Arabidopsis thaliana: one gene and its partners. The protein of the gene in region 2 interacts with the protein of the main gene of each other region in a biochemical or structural test. Each region holds a gene or a part of one and is shown on either strand. Other genes may lie near its edges.

Evidence for each region. The genes of interacting proteins can lie anywhere in the genome.
Region 1: the proteins of AT5G63190 (region 2) and BRL2 form a complex in vitro, tested with the Arabidopsis thaliana proteins (one study listed by BioGRID).
Region 3: the proteins of AT5G63190 (region 2) and EIN2 form a complex in vitro, tested with the Arabidopsis thaliana proteins (one study listed by BioGRID).

The regions. Positions count from the first base shown.
Region 1 is NC_003071.7:440,116-445,983, forward strand, and holds BRL2 (BRI1-like 2), read right to left. Parts: upstream 4,210-5,868; 5' UTR 4,122-4,209; coding exon 690-4,121; 3' UTR 509-689; downstream 1-508. UniProt on the Arabidopsis thaliana protein: Receptor with a serine/threonine-protein kinase activity, which may transduce extracellular spatial and temporal signals into downstream cell differentiation responses in provascular and procambial cells.
Region 2 is NC_003076.8:25,343,892-25,349,301, forward strand, and holds AT5G63190 (MA3 domain-containing protein), read left to right. Parts: upstream 1-1,650; 5' UTR 1,651-1,911; exon of another isoform or gene 1,912-1,920; intron 1,921-2,253; coding exon 2,254-2,470; intron 2,471-2,651; coding exon 2,652-2,749; intron 2,750-2,837; exon of another isoform or gene 2,838-2,878; coding exon 2,879-4,672; 3' UTR 4,673-4,909; downstream 4,910-5,410. Other genes in the region: AT5G63200 (tetratricopeptide repeat (TPR)-containing protein), read left to right, coding at 5,152-5,315. UniProt on the Arabidopsis thaliana protein: Involved in target of rapamycin (TOR)-regulated translation control, especially under energy-deficient conditions.
Region 3 is NC_003076.8:785,451-793,435, reverse strand, and holds EIN2 (NRAMP metal ion transporter family protein), read right to left. Parts: upstream 6,009-7,985; 5' UTR 5,839-6,008; intron 5,306-5,838; 5' UTR 4,848-5,305; coding exon 4,599-4,847; intron 4,455-4,598; coding exon 4,368-4,454; intron 4,278-4,367; coding exon 4,167-4,277; intron 4,076-4,166; coding exon 3,863-4,075; intron 3,782-3,862; coding exon 3,596-3,781; intron 3,486-3,595; coding exon 825-3,485; intron 748-824; coding exon 370-747; 3' UTR 32-369; downstream 1-31. UniProt on the Arabidopsis thaliana protein: Central factor in signaling pathways regulated by ethylene (ET) and involved in various processes including development, plant defense, senescence, nucleotide sugar flux, and tropisms.

The sequences.
Region 1 (5,868 bases), on a different chromosome or scaffold from region 2:
ACCTACTTGATTCACATCAACAAGTATAAATTCACACATACTAATGAAGTAACACATTGAAATATATTCTCTTTTGTGGTTTGAAATACTATTCTCACAAAAAAAAATATTCTACTCACGAATGTATAGTCTTATAGTGTTAGATGTTCATAGGCCTGAAGGAGAAAGAGTCATTATGGGCCTAATGTTTCTATATTCTAAATAGTTCTTTATGGCCCAAATATAATTTTGAAACTTCAGTTGTTGAGCCCATTTGTATGTTCTCTATCCAAAGCCTAATCGTGTGTATTCGAGCGTTTAATAAAGAACAATTTTTTTTTTTTTTTTTTTCTAATACCAGGAAGTTCTGGGCCAATGTCGGTAATCCTTTCATGCACGAAACCACATCGTGTAATATTAGTTTCGTTTCAAGCGTTACTCAAATCGGCGTTCTCTAAGCTTCGTTTACGGTCTTTACCAATTGAGCTAACGACACTCGGTAATAAAGAACAATTCACCAACTAAGACTCTGATTTGTTATAATCTGCATAGTTATTTATTAAAGGAATCAGAATTTAAATTACATTAATTAAGTCTTGATACATCATGAAATTTTAATCATTGATCAACCACACATACACATTCTCACAGGAAAAAAAAATGCATTGAAAAAGCCAGAAAAACAAAAAAAAACAGAGATCTTCATGTTGTTACAAGCTGTTACTGTGACTGTGACTATTATTTTCACTTCCACGAAGTTCTCTCAACGAAGCAACAACTTGTAACATATTAGGTCTCTTTGATGGGAAATCGTCAACGCACCGTAACGCTATCTCCAAATACCTCAACATTTCTTTCACAATCACTCCTCCTTCAAAACCTTCTTTCTCATTCAGAGACTCCGAAGAACCTTCTTTTAGAAGGTCTTCATCAATCACTTCCATGTGTTTCCCTTCTCTTGCCTTCATCTTCGACCAACCTACTAAATTCGTATCACCAAACTCTTCTTTATCCGTTGGTCTTTTCCCGCTTAAGATCTCGAGCATCACTACTCCGATTGAGTACACGTCGCCTTTTGCGGTACATCTGAAACTTTGGTAATACTCTGGTGGTACGTAACCTGGCGTGCCTGCCAAGGTACTTACACTCAAATGTGTGTCTAATGCGCTGATCAGTCTCGCCATTCCGAAATCTGAAACTCTTGCTTCCATGTCTTGATCGAGAAGCACGTTGCTCGATTTCATGTCGCGGTGGATTATGTGAGGGATACAATTGTGATGCAAGAAACAAAGTCCTTTTGCTGCTCCTTTTGCAATCTTTTTCCTCTCTTCCCAACCTAAAATCCTCCGTTTTTCGCCTGTTCTTGGTCCGTGAAGCACCTCCTCGAGGCTTCCGTATTGCATAAACTCGTAAACAAGCAATCTCTCTTCCCCGATTTTACAGTATCCCAAGAGCGGTACGAGGTTTCGGTGTTTGATCTTCCCTAAGGTTTCCATTTCTGCCATGAACTCTCGATCTCCTTGACAACTAAGTCTAATGAGCTTCTTGATCGCCACGGAAGACCCGTCTTTAAGCGTCGCCTTAAAAACCTCACCGAATCCGCCGTGTCCGATCATACTCGCGGCTGAGAATCCGTTTGTCGCCTCGATAAGCTGCGAAAACTTAAGCTTTCTCAACTGTCGCTGAAACGTCGCTACATTAATACTCAACGGCTCTTTCTCCTTCTCTATCTTCCATGTAGTGGCGGAATTAACCGCCTGCAAACTGTGAAGCATCTTCGCATCATCCGCATCTCTCCTCCTCGCACGAACCGCAATCGCCCAAACGATTAAAATACAAACCGAAGCAGCGGAAATCAACACTCCCAAAACAATGCTATTCGCCCAAGAAGCTGCCCTAGTTCCGTGCTTAGCACGTTTCCCTTCCTCTGTTCCAGCAGGAAGCTGATTGTTTCCATTCTTACATTCCGGTAAAGGAACACCGCAAAGCCCCGGATTATTCGCGTACTGAGTCGCCGGAAGCGTGCTTAACTGACCTCTCTGAGGAATCGGACCAGTTAACTCGTTATTCGACAAATCAATCTGCACCAAGAAAGACAAATTCGAGAAAGATTCAGGGATTTGACCCTGCAACCGATTATCCGAAGCATCGAAAACACCGAGATTCTTGAGCTGACCAATCGTAAACGGAATCTCGCCGGAGAGTTGATTATGAGAAAGCTCAAGAACTTGAAGAGCAATCATTTCTCCAATCTCATCAGGGATTTTACCTCTAAGCTGATTATAAGAAAGATCAAGATACTCAATGGTTTGATATCTTGTGAATAGACTCAAAATTGGACCTGAATACATTCTTGTGAAGTCACAGCTTTTAAGAGATGGAATCTGAAGAAGCCTCTCTGGTCTGATCCCTGAGAACTCAACCAAACCTCCAACACCTTTACATGAGTTTCCAACGTTTCTAACAAAAGCCATTGTGTTTCCTGAGAGTAAACCGGAAAGTGCTTTTGAACCGGGTTGACGACCTAACCGGGGAGGGATTTCACCGGTTAAGTGGTTTGTGTTAAGATCAAGCCAAACCAGAGTTGTGCATTTTCCTAGCTCCGGTGGGATTTCTCCGGTGAAATTGTTGTTACCGAGCTGAAGAACGGCTAACCGGGAAAGGATTCCGAAATCTTTAGGCACTTCTCCGGTTAATCTGTTGCTTGTGAATGAGACCCATTCGATGTTACTGCAATTGAAAAATTCCGGTGGGATTTCTCCGGTGAGTTGATTGTTGTTGAGGATCAAATCTTTTAGGTTTTGTAGTTTTCCGATCTCCGGTGGGATTTCTCCGGCGATGTTGTTGTACCAAGCTATGAATTGCTCGAGTTTCTGGAGGTTTCCGATCTCCGGTGGGATTGTACCGTTGAGATAATTGAGACTGAGATCAATCGTTCGTAGCTCAGAGCATTGAGATATCGCCGGTGGAATCTCTCCGGTGACGAGATTATCCGGGAGTCTTAGCTCTTCTAATGAAGCTGCTCCGGGACATAAATCCGGTGGAATCACACCGGAGAATCGATTCGAGCTGAAGTCAGCGATTCTCAAGCTCTTACAAGCAGAGATTGAAGTCGGAAAGTCACCGGAGATTAAGTTGTTGCTGAGAAGTAAGATTTGAAGAGATCCAAAACTCCGGAGGATAGTGTTCGGAAACGGACCGGAGATGTTGTTGTTTGAAAGGTCAAGACTTTGTAGCCAAGAACATGAGGACAACGACTCAGGGATCACACCAGTGAAGTTGTTGTAAGAAAGCCGGAGGTTTTGTAATGACCGGCAAGTATCTCCGATCTCCGGCGGGATCCAACCGGTGAGTCGGTTATGAGAAAGATCCAAACTTTGTAAGAGTTTAAGCTCACCGAAAGATTTTGGAATCTGCCCATCGAAGTTGTTGTAAGAAAGATTCAAGCTTTTGAGGTTGGTGCAGTTGATGAGTGAGTCAGAGATATAGCCGGAGATACTGTTACCGGAGAAATCGAGATAGGTCATGGAGACGCAAGAAGAAAGAGGAATGGTTAAACCGGAGATTGGACCGGTAATGTTGTTGTAAGAAAGATCAAGGGTTTGGAGTTTCTTGCTGCTTAAGAAAAGATCATTAGGTAACTTTCCGGTGAAGTTATTGTAAGAGAGGGTGATGGAAATAAGATTTGAGTATTTGGAGAAGAAATTTTCAGGGAGGGTTCCGATTAAACCGGAGGAAGAGAGTTCGAGATGAGTTAGGGTTAAAGGAAGAAGAAGAAGAGAGGTTGAGTTTAAGACGAAGAAGTTCTCTGAGAGTTTGAGAACAGAGAGAGAATCAAGAGAGGTGAAAGCATTGAAGGAGACGATTCCGGAGAGGCCACTACCGGAGAGATTAATCTCGGTGACTCTTCCTCCGAGACAAGTGACGCCGGAGAATTGACAAGGGGATTTACGAGGTGACCAGTTTGAGAGAATGTTGTTTGGATCATCTTGGATCATTGTTTTGAAAGAGAGGAGTGATAATGAGTCGGTTTTGAGTGAAGATTGGTCGGAGGAGGAAGATTGTGAGAGATGGGTAAGGAGGAAGATGAAGGAGATTTGGATCCGAGTCCGGATCCGAACCCGGATTGGTGAAGTAGTCATTGGAGGGAGGTTTTTTGAGTTTGAATGGAGAAGGAGAAGTAAGTAAGTTGAAACATTTAGATGATAAAGAGACGATGCTAAAGCAGAGGAAGAAAAAGGGCTTTTTTTGAAGAAAAGAAAAAGCTGCTTTTAGGTAATTTATTAAGTTTTATTAATTGTTGATGCTTATTATTTTTAAAACATCTTTGTCGAATCGTTTTTTTTTACATATGATGTTTTTCTAATAGATGATTGATTTATTAAATGGTTATGATCAATCTTATGATTTTGTGGAATTGTGATCATGACTTGTAGTGATTTGTGTAAGTGACATTATTAATCTAATAGAATACATGTTGTTTGATAATCAAAAAAATTAAGTTCAGTTTATAGAATAAAACTCTAATATTTAGAAAAATATGTTTTCAGTTTCATTTAGTCCTATATCTATTTGTTTCTAATGGTTTCATAATTTTAATTCATTAAAGCTCCATGTGGGGATTTTGAACCTTAGAAAGAATTATGATCACTGCTAATTTTCTAAATGGGAATTGTATCTATGAGATGTTTCACAAATTTCAATGAAGAAAAAGTGTAGTATTATATAAACTTCCATTTAAAAATTTAGCTATATACTATTGTTGTATAACATTTCTTAAAATGATTTAAATATTAGTTGTATAACATTTCTTAAAATAATTTAAATATTAGATGACAAGCAACTAGATCTAATAAGAGTCGGAAGGAATTGTCCGTTGTAGAATCGTCTATGTAACAGTGCAATAAATAATAAATCTAAGACTGGCAAAAAAAAATAATTGACAAGCAACTGAATATGAATATAGTTAGTGATATAGTGACAACACTAATAAAAACGAACATAATAGAAATTCTAGTCTATAATCACATCAAGTTTGGAATTTTGGGATAATTTGTTTTGTTTTTGTTGTGTATTGTATTAATACTTTATTTAAAAAAAAAACAAAACCTTTTACAAAAGAATGGCAATTATATTGAAAGGAATTTTGGGAGAAATTATTCCAAACCGATATACAAATATTTCATATGGTGGGGTGTGTGGTCAAAATAATTGGGACCCAATTTAGTCATAATATGCATCGCATATGAAATGGTCTTTTGTAAAATTTGGTTGATCCAATGTTCACTGTCGAGGCAGAGGCGTGGGGGAATGAACAGAGAAGTGACTTTACAAATTACAATAACAAACTTTAAGGTGTAACCATAATGTTGCTCACTTCTTTTTCCATTTTTATGTGATTTTAATTAGTTTAGTTTCATATAATATGCCATAGATGAGCCTTTATATCATGTTCCATGTCACACACTCCATCCTTTTCATCATTACACTGCCTTCTTCCACCAAGTTTATGAGTAGATTTGTATGACTTAAGCAAAATATTAGCTTGATTATTTCAGCCAACGAGAAAATGCTATTTTGAAATGTTCATTGATAAATAATCATATACACATATTAAAGAAAAAAATATACACAAGTCATATTTTAAAATGTTTCAATTGGTTATACCCTAGCTACCATTCAATTGCACAAGAGACTATTTCTTTAAGATCAATAGTTTCTAGTAAGAAATAATTATTCTTAGAACATTTTTCCATTGCAATTAATAGTGCAAATCTTATCACCTATAGTGTGATTTTGTGTGTTATAAATTTGTAATATATCATACTGTTGAAGACTATAGAGTATATTTTATTGATTCTGTTTAATAAATAAAGGACCGAATAGTGG
Region 2 (5,410 bases):
ACGTATATGGATTGTAATTGTAAGAATACGATATTTGATACACTTTGAATTGTTTGATAAGTTGGTTTTAGAGTGTTTGTTATTATTATTATCTTTATACAAAATGAATTTCTTTTGGTGTCTCAAAGAGATATTGCTTGCAGGAAAAGAGAAAAGAATAGACCCACCAAAAGCAATAGAATAGGAGAACTGAGCCGACACTGGCCCATAGAGGTTTGATTTTGGGACCACCGAACCATGTGCTCGAGTCCAATCTTTCAATAAATTCTACACATATAATTTTCTTAAATTCATATAACGTTTTTAGAATAGTAGTGTATTCATTCATATCTAACAATCAGACCCTATGTTGAAATTTTGGCTGGTACAAAATGTGTTGACAATCAATGCACATGGGAAGTATTTGCATCATCACTCTATATCCTCCTCCTCCTCCACACTTTAAAAAGAACAATGTCTTTAAAAACTTAATCAACTATTCGATTACAAGTCTCGCCGACATTTTTCTTTTTGCTAGAGCCATTCATGTTGATGAATTTTCACTTCGGGCAAAAATATGGATCATGAGTTTAAGTCTAGTTTTTTTTTTTTAAATTACTGTTAGTAGCAAATTATTTTATACATTAAGCAAATTGTGTATTCTGGTACATAAACTGCAGAAAACAATTAAATGACATTTCTCACTACATTTTAGACAGTTTTGGACATTCATTCGATTAGTAAATGATTTCGTTCTCGTACGTGATGAAACACGAGAACCGATCGACATTAATGTTCCTTTTTCAGAATATTCTCAACGCTCAAAAGCTAATCTATATACATTTTTCACTACTTTTTACATGATTCATAGAATACAAAAATAATTGAACGCATTTGAATAAGTAACTAAATATAGAGTATGATAATATCTAATTCAACCATTTTAATTATTGACTACATTGGCTTATCAAACTGAAACTTGATCATTTGGATAAGCAAACTTAACAAATTAATGTTTTGAACAAATGCTCAACTTTACAAGTTTTTTTTGTCTTCTATACGAAATCAATTCAAGTTTCATGACATTGTCTTGTGAAAAAAAAACAAGAAAAAATGTAGAGAATTGACCTTTCTATAAAGAAATAGAGTCGTTAGATTGGATTTAAGGTGGTAGATATAAAGAAAACCGTCGGATCAGAAAATAGAGACAAAAGGGCATGTGACCGGTTTTTGCTTGAAAACTACTTGCTAACTTCTTCTCTACTCATTTATCAGTGTTATAATTTTTTTGTTTTTTTTATACACATAGTACGTTCACTAAAATAACAATTTAAAATGAATATTGATATAATTTAGTCATAATAATTTGAAAAATATAAAATACAATATCCATATCTGTTTTAAAACTATAAACATGATGGCCATGATCTAATAATATGATTCCATGAAGCATAAAACTTTTATTAACGTAGTCAACCATTGGATATTGTCCAGCCCAAAATATCTAATTCAATGGGCCGAACCTACCCAATACAGCCCATTGTTTTGGATTAAAATCTTTAAAAAAATTGGAGGCTAAATTAAAAAAAGAAGGAAATATTCTAAGCCCTCCACGTATTACGTTGATGACGTGTACCATCGTATATAAACAAATGCACAAAACTTTATTATATTGTTGTAAAGTAGTACTTTTATTGGCGATCCTCATCCATTTCCTCTCTCGTCGTTGTCTGGGAATCGGTGACTTTTGAATCTTTGCGACTCTCTTGTAGTGATAAATTGATCGTTATCTACTTTGATACTCTCCGGTCGTTTTTCTCCGGTGCTGGAGATCCGATTCCTTATCTTTTCTGTCTTGGCTCGAGATCCGAGCCAAGCAGTAAAGAAGACGACTTTGTTTCACGATTTGGAATTTGATTCCTGCGATCACAGGTATGACAGGTTAGATTTTGTTTTGTATAGTTGTATACATACTTCTTTGTGATGTTTTGTTTACTTAATCGAATTTTTGGAGTGTTTTAAGGTCTCTCGTTTAGAAATCGTGGAAAATATCACTGTGTGTGTGTTCTTATGATTCACAGTGTTTATGGGTTTCATGTTCTTTGTTTTATCATTGAATGGGAAGAAATTTCGTTGGGATACAAATTTCTCATGTTCTTACTGATCGTTATTAGGAGTTTGGGGAAAAAGGAAGAGTTTTTTTGGTTGGTTCGAGTGATTATGAGGTTATTTCTGTATTTGATTTATGAGTTAATGGTCGTTTTAATGTTGTAGATGGCATCGGGTGAGGGAATTTTGACGGATGGACAGTGGAAAAAGCTTGAAATAGCAACTCATAATTCTGGAAGTTTGTCATCATCGCCTAAATCTCATACTCTCTTTGCTGATCTGAACATTAAGTCTCCCACTGGTGGCAAAGGACCAGTTGCTGGGATTCCTAATAGGCATGTGCGACGTACTCACTCAGGGAAGCATATTCGTGTTAAGAAGGGTATTAAACTTTCTTCAACCTTTTGTGCTTGTTATTTGGCTAATAGATCCTTTTAGGGAGTGATATGACTCTTTATTAGTTCCTTTCAAATTTGCTTTAGTGAAAAGACTTAAGTTTTCAGTAGAAGAGTTCAAGTGTGTAGGTGATATATGGTTTACTTATGTGGCAATGATATCTGCAGAGGGTGCTGGTGGCAAAGGAACTTGGGGAAAGCTTCTTGACACTGATGATGGTGACTCCTGTATTGATAAGAATGATCCCAATTACGATAGTGGAGAGGTACTTTCATATTTGCGCCTTTTGTTTTGTGTTGGATACTTTTCCTTGTTTCTTTAGTGTATCTAACATCCCTTGATTTTATCTTTTATTAGTAGTTTGCTTTTTTCATTCATATACTCAATTTAACAGGACGCATATGATGGACTTGTTGATTCACCGGTATCAGACCCGTTGAATGATTACAAAAAGTCAGTAGTTTCCATCATTGACGAATACTTTAGCACCGGGGATGTGAAAGTGGCGGCATCTGACCTCAGGGAACTTGGTTCAAGCGAATATCATCCTTACTTCACCAAGCGACTTGTTTCTATGGCCATGGACAGACACGATAAGGAGAAGGAAATGGCTTCAGTGCTACTCTCTGCATTGTATGCTGATGTTATTTTACCTGATCAAATTAGGGATGGATTTATAAGACTTCTCAGATCTGTTGATGACCTTGCGGTGGACATCCTTGATGCTGTTAATGTCCTTGCATTGTTTATTGCACGGGCCATCGTTGACGAAATTCTCCCTCCGGTTTTTCTGGTTAGATCTAAGAAGATTCTTCCAGAATCTTGCAAAGGGTTTCAGGTTATTGTAACTGCAGAAAAGAGCTATCTCTCAGCTCCTCACCATGCAGAACTAGTGGAGAAGAAATGGGGAGGTAGTACTCACACTACAGTAGAAGAAACGAAGAAAAAGATATCTGAAATCTTGAAGGAATACGTGGAAAACGGAGACACTTACGAAGCTTGTAGATGCATCAGGGAATTAGGTGTCTCGTTTTTCCATCATGAGGTTGTGAAGAGGGCTTTGGTTCTGGCGATGGATTCTCCAACCGCTGAGTCACTTGTACTAAAGCTGTTGAAGGAAACTGCTGAAGAAGGACTGATCAGTTCGAGTCAAATGGTGAAGGGATTCTTCCGAGTAGCAGAGAGTCTCGATGACCTTGCTCTAGATATCCCATCTGCCAAAAAGCTGTTTGATTCGATAGTTCCAAAGGCTATTTCTGGAGGCTGGCTCGATGATTCATTTAAGATAACCTCTGATCAAGATGGAGAAAAATCGAGTCAAGACGGAAAGCTAAGACAGTACAAGAAGGATACAGTGAACATAATTCAGGAATATTTCTTATCAGATGACATTCCTGAGCTAATCCGCAGTCTTCAAGATTTAGGGGCACCTGAATATAACCCGGTGTTTCTGAAGAGGCTCATAACTCTTGCTCTAGACAGGAAAAACAGAGAAAAGGAAATGGCTTCGGTTCTTCTTTCTGCTCTTCACATGGAGCTATTCTCAACTGAAGATTTCATAAACGGTTTCATTATGCTCCTGGAATCGGCAGAAGACACAGCTTTAGATATCATGGACGCATCAAACGAACTTGCTCTGTTTTTAGCTAGAGCTGTGATTGACGACGTCTTAGCTCCACTTAACCTTGAAGATATCTCAACCAAGCTGCCTCCAAAATCAACCGGAACCGAAACAGTCCGCTCAGCCAGGTCTCTTATCTCCGCCAGACACGCAGGAGAGAGACTCCTAAGAAGCTGGGGAGGTGGAACCGGCTGGATAGTGGAAGATGCAAAGGACAAAATCTCGAAACTCCTAGAAGAATACGAAACAGGAGGAGTAACATCAGAAGCTTGTCAATGTATCCGCGATCTAGGGATGCCTTTTTTCAACCACGAAGTAGTGAAGAAAGCTTTGGTGATGGCAATGGAGAAGCAGAATGATCGGTTACTGAATCTGCTTGAGGAGTGTTTTGGTGAAGGATTGATTACAACTAACCAAATGACGAAAGGGTTTGGTCGTGTTAACGACAGCCTCGATGACTTGTCGCTTGATATACCGAACGCGAAAGAGAAGTTTGAGCTGTATGCTAGTCATGCCATGGACAATGGTTGGATCCTTCCCGAGTTTGGGATTTCTGCAACTCAGTGATTAGTGGTTCTCTTATCAGTTTCTTGTGTTTGTGCTTACGATACTTTCCTCACTATCTACATATATGTATGGATTCAGTTAGTAGATAAACATGAGATGTTTATATGTTCATGTGTTTCTGTCTGGTTGTTGTGTTTTGTCTTTGTACTGATATCTTTTAGTGTGTTCTAATTTCTGATGGATTTTTGTTACATTGAAAATAAGTTATTAGCATGGTTAATTTGTGTTAACTTATTACTCTTGTGATATTTTATGAAAATTATTTATAAATATAGAAAATATGGTAATTAAATTATAAAAAGATAAATAAAAATATATTTGTTCGGTCGGTGAGATAATTATGACTCCGGTTCCGGGATAGAGCAAACAAAAGGATAGACCAATACTCGTTGCCAAACAGCTTTATCCTCGTTTTTATATTTGTTTTGATTCTTTCTTCTTCTGCTCAACTTTACTGTCCGGCGTACTCAGCACCATCAATGGACCGCCCGGAGACGATCGCCGTCAAATGCGAACCCATGACCGTTGACTCTCCTTCTCGACCTCTAAAGCTTGTAGTTTTAGCTGACCTTAATTTCAATCCTCCTGAGACTGATGATCTTGACTCATCCATTCCAATCCCTACTCCTCCTCCCATCACTAGGTACTTCTACATACGTAGTTGTGTGTGTTTCAGCTAATTAACCTATTTCTTTCTGTTGCTTTCGACTAACTTTCTTTTGCTGAGATTTTTTTTTC
Region 3 (7,985 bases), about 25 Mb from region 2:
AGAAATATTGATAAGGACACGTGTCAGTAATCTAGCGTCGATGTGTCAGCTACGTGCAGAGATCCGGTTTAGGAGATTTAACATTTCAAACCGACGATTTCTTTATGATTCCGCATAGAATTACACAAACCGGATTCGGTTTGTAGCTATGGTCCTATGATGATGATATATGTATATAAACATAACATTACAACCAAATTAAGAAAAAAAGAGCGAAAAATTCTGAAGCAACAAAAATCCATTTTTTTTCTTCTTTTCTTAATACACAATTAACGAAGCAGAGGAGCAATCAAAAGCGAGAGTTTTGATTCTTCGGCTTCCCTCTCGACGTCACTTTGATCATGAGATTTCTCACAATGTTCTTCTTCTTCAACCCAATGATCCGTACGCAGTCACGTTTTTTCTTGAACCGGGTCCATCCTGATTCATACCTACTGGTTTATTCGATAACCGACGTTTATACCGCTTCAAAACCGAAGCCAAATTCTCTTTCCCCTTTGGGAAAGCCACATCACCTGCAGCTGTACCGGTTCGGCCTTTTCTACAAGAGATTGCCATTTCAACGTCTTTGATTAGATCAAGAAGTGTGACTGCGGTTGTGCATTTGCCTTTAGCCGGTTTTGCAGCCGGAGGTAACATTCCGTTAGCTGAAGTCGGACTCGCTCTCTGGTGGCTCGCTGGAATCTGAAGGCAAAAGCACGGTGTCATTGGTGTCCGCAGCTTTGAGAACGCCGGATCAATCACTCCCTGTTTAAATCCATACATGTCAATATTTTCAAACTGCAAAACTGTGATTTTCAATGAACTACTGCGGTTTTTGTTACCTGTAGGCGGTTGAGAACGTAAGTGTACTTTCCCCAAAGCTCAGGCCGACTCTCCATGAGAGACAAGTCAAGGACACGGTGAATGCACCAAACTCCAAAGCTCACAATCAAATCAGCTCTCCAAACGCAACCATCTCCACAGTTAGGAACCGATGAAATTAGTGGCTCCCCCATGTGACCCACCTGGTTTATTTCTCGAGCTTCAGCTTCATAGATAAACTTCTCTCGTGCAGCTACCCGGTCAATCAGTTCTTCATCAACTCCATCGCTTTGTCCAAACAACCACTCGGATCCTTCAAGTTTAATAAGCTTTAGAATACAGTGCCTGAACGACTGAAGAAGCTTAGCCTCTGCATCAACATTAGAAGAAGCGTTGTTGTCTATATTGATCGGATTCGATCTATTCCTGAGCTCCTCACCAACAGCACCATTCCTCTCCGCTACACCAAACTGCTCAAAGGGCTGTCTGGACCAAAGCGATCCGGTCCCTGTTGTTGCACTCTGTGGCAAACTGTAGGCATCTCTGTAGCCTCCTCTTGATTGAGAAATGTCATCATAAGTCGAGGGTACTCCCACCCGTGACCCCAAATTAGAATATAACGATGATTCATTGCTTAACCGACCATAAGACGCACCATACCCTCCTCCTCCACTTGACGGATCCCAGTATCCACTCTTGTTGTTTGGTAAATGCATGTTCCTTGCGGACATAGACAATCCTGAGATATCTGGCATGCTACTATATTTTTTCTCATTGGCTACTGCTGCGCCAACAGTATCAGTATTGCCAGAAGATGGAACACCGTAATAAGATCTTTCAGATTGTCGCGATATGCTTCTAGACCCAGCAAAATTCTCAAACCCAGGAGCTGGTCCAGGGGTTAGACCATTCTGGGACTTCTGTTTCAAGGCTAAAGCAAGTTGCTGTGTATAGCTCAATGTACCAAGCGCCATAGATCTCGATGTCGGGATCTCTCCACGGGATTGTAAGGCTTCAAGCCTTTCTTTTGCCAAATTGTCTACATATGACTTCATCTGGTATCCGTGAACTGTAGCTGGTTGTTGGTGTTCCCAACCCTCTGAAGATGATGGAGCACGCAGGCTAGAGTATCTTCTCTCACTCAATTCGTAAGCATTATTATTATTAGTGGTGTTACCATATGCACCCAACATCTGCATACGGTTGACCAACGGTGACGGTGACGAACCTCTTTGTAATCCATACAACGAATCGATACTTCCCGGTGTCCTCTGCTGCTTCAGTGAATCATATAAACTTGAAGTCATCTGTGAATCCATTCCCTTCGCAGTTGGTGACATGCAATATCCACTGCTAATGTCTTTTCCAAACGAATCTGCTTTCATAGAAGAGGCTGACTTTTGATCAGTGCCAAACAGCTGATCTAGTTTCTTTGCCCTGGCTTCAGCAACCAATTGCCCATGAAAATCATATAAATGTCCCCAAAATTCATCAAGGATCGCAGATAAGTGTCTCCGGGCAGCACGTCCCAAACCTTGCAACCGTGAAAGGCTTCCAGTCCCACTTCCCCCTTCCCCACTTAAGCTGCGGAATGAAGGAGGACCATCAGATCCGACAGTAAAGTTGCTTGTAGGAGCAGCTTTGGTAGCTTCTTCTGTTTCCCATGAAACCCCTTCAACATCCTTTTCAATAAACTTGCTGTTATTCTCCATGCTAACAATCTTCTCCACAGGACTCATTGGTTCAATTTTCGCCATCTTTGTTTCAACAATCAGATCCTTATCACTGACCTCATTAACCACTGTTGACTGCAATACAGACTGTTCCTTTACATCAGAGTCTTCCTTAAGACTACTAACTTGAGAGGTAGAGTACTTTACATCCAACTCTCTTTCCTCTGGAGGGCTCGAACGGATTTCTTGATCCGTCATTAGAATGTTCTCTGGCAAATCATAGACCGAGCTAGTAACAGACGTAGTATCCAACTGATCCTTTACCCTGCTTTCCAACCGCACTATTGATTCGTCTTCGTTCCTCCTTGTTTCTGTTCTTTCAATTTCCTCTTCTTGAACAGATGGATAAGATAAAGCATTTTGAGCATCCATGTTCCATATTTGAGCTTCCGCTCTGTTACTCGCAGATTTCAGCGGCGTGGCTGCCAGCCAGAGTATCAGGCATAAGGATGCACATGACGATACAAGCAGAGTGGTGTACTGAATCGAGGTGCCCATCACGGTATTCCATCTCAAACCACCAGCCCAGTCACTGCTCCCAAATACCATCTCAACAACAAAAACAACATTCAACCCCAGAAATCCCAAAAACGTTGTAAGTGCGAGGAACTCGCCAACCTGAGGGATTTTATGGACACCCATGATTTGTCTCGACGAAGCAATGCGGAAAAGCGGTATTACCGAGCAAGGAAGCATCATTGCCACCAAGACCTGGGTGAATATAAGTAACTGGTATATTCCGTCTGCACCAGATGTCCATACACAATAAAGCGCAGGAGCAACTGCAAGAATTCTGATTGTAGCACGATGAAGCCAAGCGGGTATTTCTATCTTCAGGAAGTCATGCAGGACGACCTCTCCACCGAAAGCCCAAGCTAGTGCGGTAATTTGACTAGAGAAGAACAAGAGCATCAAAAAGACCACTGGAATGAGCGGACTCATAAATACCTGTGATCAACAATCAAGAACAAGATAATTAATAATCACGAGAGATTTCTGAACATTTTCCCTAAAAATGAATTATAGACTAATACGAACATAAAACCGTCAGAACAAACCTGCTCCATTAGTGACAAGGCATCGTGAAAAGTCAGTACCACAAGGCCAGTACTGTGAAACACATTAGCTGCTGCATTCATCAATACATAATTTACAAGTGACAGTCCGCTGAAGACACCAAAGATGGCGAACAAATGGTCTTGACACAAGCTGCTCTTGTCGACATCAGACGAAGATGTACTTTCCTGTAATAGAGCGTTCACTGCTTAGTATAATTATTGCTTCTTAACAGAAAAGAGAGATACATATAAAGAGAAAAAAGGTACCCCAGCAAAATAAGAATGGATATAAAAATTGTGAGGGACGATGCTTGCGCCAAGAAGACCCATCAGTGCGAATGCGCTCTCTCCATTTAACCGAGTTAACACTCCATTCATAGAGAGTGGGATCTCAGACTGACTCAGCAAGACGCCAGATACATAGAGAAGTAATACCAGGCCTGCAGAGTAAATGGATACTGTATTTGCCATACCATTTTCCTGTCAGAAATTGTATGCATGTCAGCTAATTTCCAATAATGCTATTTCAAGAACGTGGAGAAAAAAAACAAGACAGGAAGACCAGTCATACAAGGAAAGAGGCGAAAACAGGAAATAAAAACGCATCCATGGCGGCCAAAAACACTCCAGTGGATAACTCCACCCCAAACAAAAGGTTAAGTGCATGCGCAACTCCCACAACCTGTTTATAATAGAGAAGCTCAAGTCAGAGGAATCAAAATTTTATCACATAATAAAAAAATTAAGAACAGCAAAGATTGTAAGTAACTACCATGGTAAGGTCGAGCAGAATTGCTGAGAACTCCGCCTGAATGCCCAAGAACATGCACGTCCACTTGTCATATTCTTCATTGCAGATCTGTCCCAGTAAAGAACATTAAAATGTTAGAAAAATAGAGAAGGTGGTTAGTAGAATTCCACTTTGAGAAAGTGACAAGACAACCACAGAGCCCAGTTTGTTATTTTAAAAAGTTTGTTCTTTAGAGATCAGAAAAATGTTTACCTGAGCCAAGTGTTTACCAGTCACAACGCTTATGCGAGCTGCAACATATTGGCATAAGATGGCGGCAAAATTGAAAAGCAGAGTAATTGCCACCAAGTCATACCCGAAACGAGCACCTCCTTCGATATTTGCAACCCATTTCCCGGGATCAATATATCCGACAGAAACCAAAAGGACAGGAAGTAGAGCAGGAACCATTCTCTGGATAAACCCTAGCTGAGGTCTCACATTCACAATTTCAGCTTCCATCCTAAATCTATCTGATAATATAATTACTCAGAGTAGGATTCAAGGTCAACTCTACAGTCGTGGTTCACTAAAAGCCTCAGTTGAGTAAAATTCACAGATTTGATCTAAAACACCTTCCCTCGCGAAATCTGATTCCCTCCAAAGCTAACACACAACAACGAATCAGTCGGTTCTTCTATCACCGAGGCAAACAAAGCCACTCTAACGCTTACTTGTTATACAACTCTGTACAGTCTTTCTTTACCTAATAATAGCTGAAGTTTCCTCTAGTAACCAGATGTTAAGTTAAGGACCAGACCTTCTTCTTATTTGCTGCTTCAAGGAGAGAGATCATACAACATTCAGCTAAGTTGGTCCAAATGGAGGAAGCCCTAACAGAGCAACCAAGAGCAGAACATAGACTTCCATATGCTTAACCACTACGGATATCTCCAAACCATTCGAAATCAGCTTCAGACCTGAATTTTTTTTTTATGGTGAAAATCTTCAGATACAGTAGTATTACAAATCAATAATTGATCTTAGTATGAAGCAGCAACAAAAAGAAGATAAGCTCAAAAAAAATACAAATTTCAACTAAACTGAAGCTAAAAGAATCGTAACGCTGACGAAAAGCAACAAAAATGCAAAGATCCCGTATGATCTACGCATTCAGATCTTCAAGGAAAAAAAAGGTCAACCACAAACCAAGTACAGTAGTAAAAAAGAAAAAAGCTTAAATCTCGCAATTAAAACAAAACCCAGAAACCGAAAACAATCCCGAAGAACTCCAAGTCTGGAAAGTCCAGATAATGAAGAGGGAGAGAGATCTAAGCTGAAACTACGAATTCGATCCACCTGATGAAATTATAAAAAGCTGGAAAAAAAACCCAGAAAGTCTCATTTGCGCAAAAGCCGAGGGAAAAGCTACAAAAACCCATGAAAGTCCGTACAAAGCCCCCCAGCAAAATAAAAAAAAAAACAGAGGATTAGGGTTTTTGAAAGAAGTCACCTTCGAAATCGCCATGATCGCAAGTTGACCTAACAACAATAGTCTCAGTGAGAGAGAGAGAAACGGATCTTCAAAAGAGAGAAACTCTTATCAAGCTACGAGAGATAGAGATAGAGAGAGAAAAGAAGAGGAAAGAGAGAAAGAGCTCAGTTCCATCGAAAGAGAGAGATAAAAGAAGATCGAAAAATCAATTATATAAAATATTTATATATAAAAAACGTATACATACATATTTGTATCTATAGGTCTGAAGGTTATGGGTGCTCGTGCCACCTTCAAAGAGAGAGAGAGAAAAAAAAAATTATTACTTGTAAATAACATGTAAAAATAAAGGTATTATTCTTTTTTTTCTTATAGCTAAAAAAACGTCTTTTTAAATAAATTTTCCAGGTTTAACATATAGTTTCTTTAATCCATCTTTATTAATCTTTTTAAACTAATCGTAGTTTATTCCATGGACGAAGAAGAGAATTATTATTACTTTAAATTTCTCGACCCCTCTTTCTCCTCATTACATGTAATAATAATACATCAAACAGCTTGATTATGGAGTTTCAAATGGAGATTATTTTACTTGATTTTGTGAAACGCTAGCTAAATTTATTTTTGTACTTTTGATTTGAGTAATACAAAAATGTTGTTTTCTAGCAATTTTTTTAATTTTTATTAAAAATTTAAAGGGACGGTTACAAAGCGAAAAATAATATAAACGTGACTAACTTTAAGAATACGAACAAAAAATAAGGAATCAAATCTTCTAACTCGCAAAAGATTACATGTGTCGAGAAGATTTGAAATTTTTTGTTACATTCGAGAAAAGTTTACGCGATTCTCGCATACTATAAAATTCAAATCTTAAACAAATAAAATTGTTTAAATATTGTATATATAACTTTTGGCTACCTTTTTATTAGAATTAAAATCCAAACATAATTTAGATCTATTTATCTTATATTAGAGACCAATGTCTAGGAATTTTTTTAATGATTTACTTATTTTAGTATTAAAACAATCTTTAAAATTTTACAAAAATACATGAATAGGTTCTATTATACATTTCAGCGTTCTGCAAAATACTGAAATTATAATTTTCCTTTTGCATAAATATAATAAAAGAGAAATCAAAAACTTTATTTGAAAATGACGTTATTTGAGAAAACTAACTAAAGTTGATGATACAATTAGGCGTTATCAAAAGCTGAAGTTGTTGACTAACGAAAATGGAAAAATAAATGAAGGCGTTAGTACCATAAATATGTAAAATCGGAAATGAGAACAGGATTCGACATTATACTCCACAGAATGCTATAAATAATACGTCTTTATATAGCAAGTTTTTATTTATTCTGCTGTATATGTATTAGACATCAATATTAATTGCATAGAACAACTATTTGTCAAAAATAAGAATTCATGGCCTTCCCTCAAATAGAAAAGAAACAAAACAAAAAAAAACATTTTGTTTTATTTGTCTTTTGATCTCAACTAAGAGCTTGATTTCATTAAATCATCATTGAAAAAACAAATACACTCTACTTTTAAACTAAACAAATATCATATACGAATTTCCATTTTATACAAAATATGTAGTTGGATACAAAATAATAGCTAGATTTTGTTATCACCAGTTATAATAAGTCATTAAGATTTGTCAATAGATTCCAATAAATGTATCATTTTACTAACGAAGAAACAGTTACTATAGTTAGTTAACTGAATCATATTTTAGTATGGTTATATTGATTGATCAAACCATCCTTAACCGAACTATCCAAATCACAAAATCAAACCCAAAACCAAAAGAAGAAAACAAATATAAATAGAATTTCTACTATTTTTGGTCAAATATAATCCACGTGTTCCTAATCATCTCCTACATCAATGGAAGTACAGCTTGGGCTTTCGATAACCATACATTGTACCTTACTATTTTTTCCAATTTGATTTCTTTAGGCTTTTTTTATGTAACTTGTCACTATATATTTAACATACTCAACATTATCCATATTCTCTTGTGAAAGTATATATACATGTACATTGGATAGGAAGCAAATTAAAACACAAGAAACTAAAATTTTGCATCAATGAAAGGAACATGGGCTCCTCTCAGTCCTATGTTGATGTATATGTTCAATGAACCATAACAT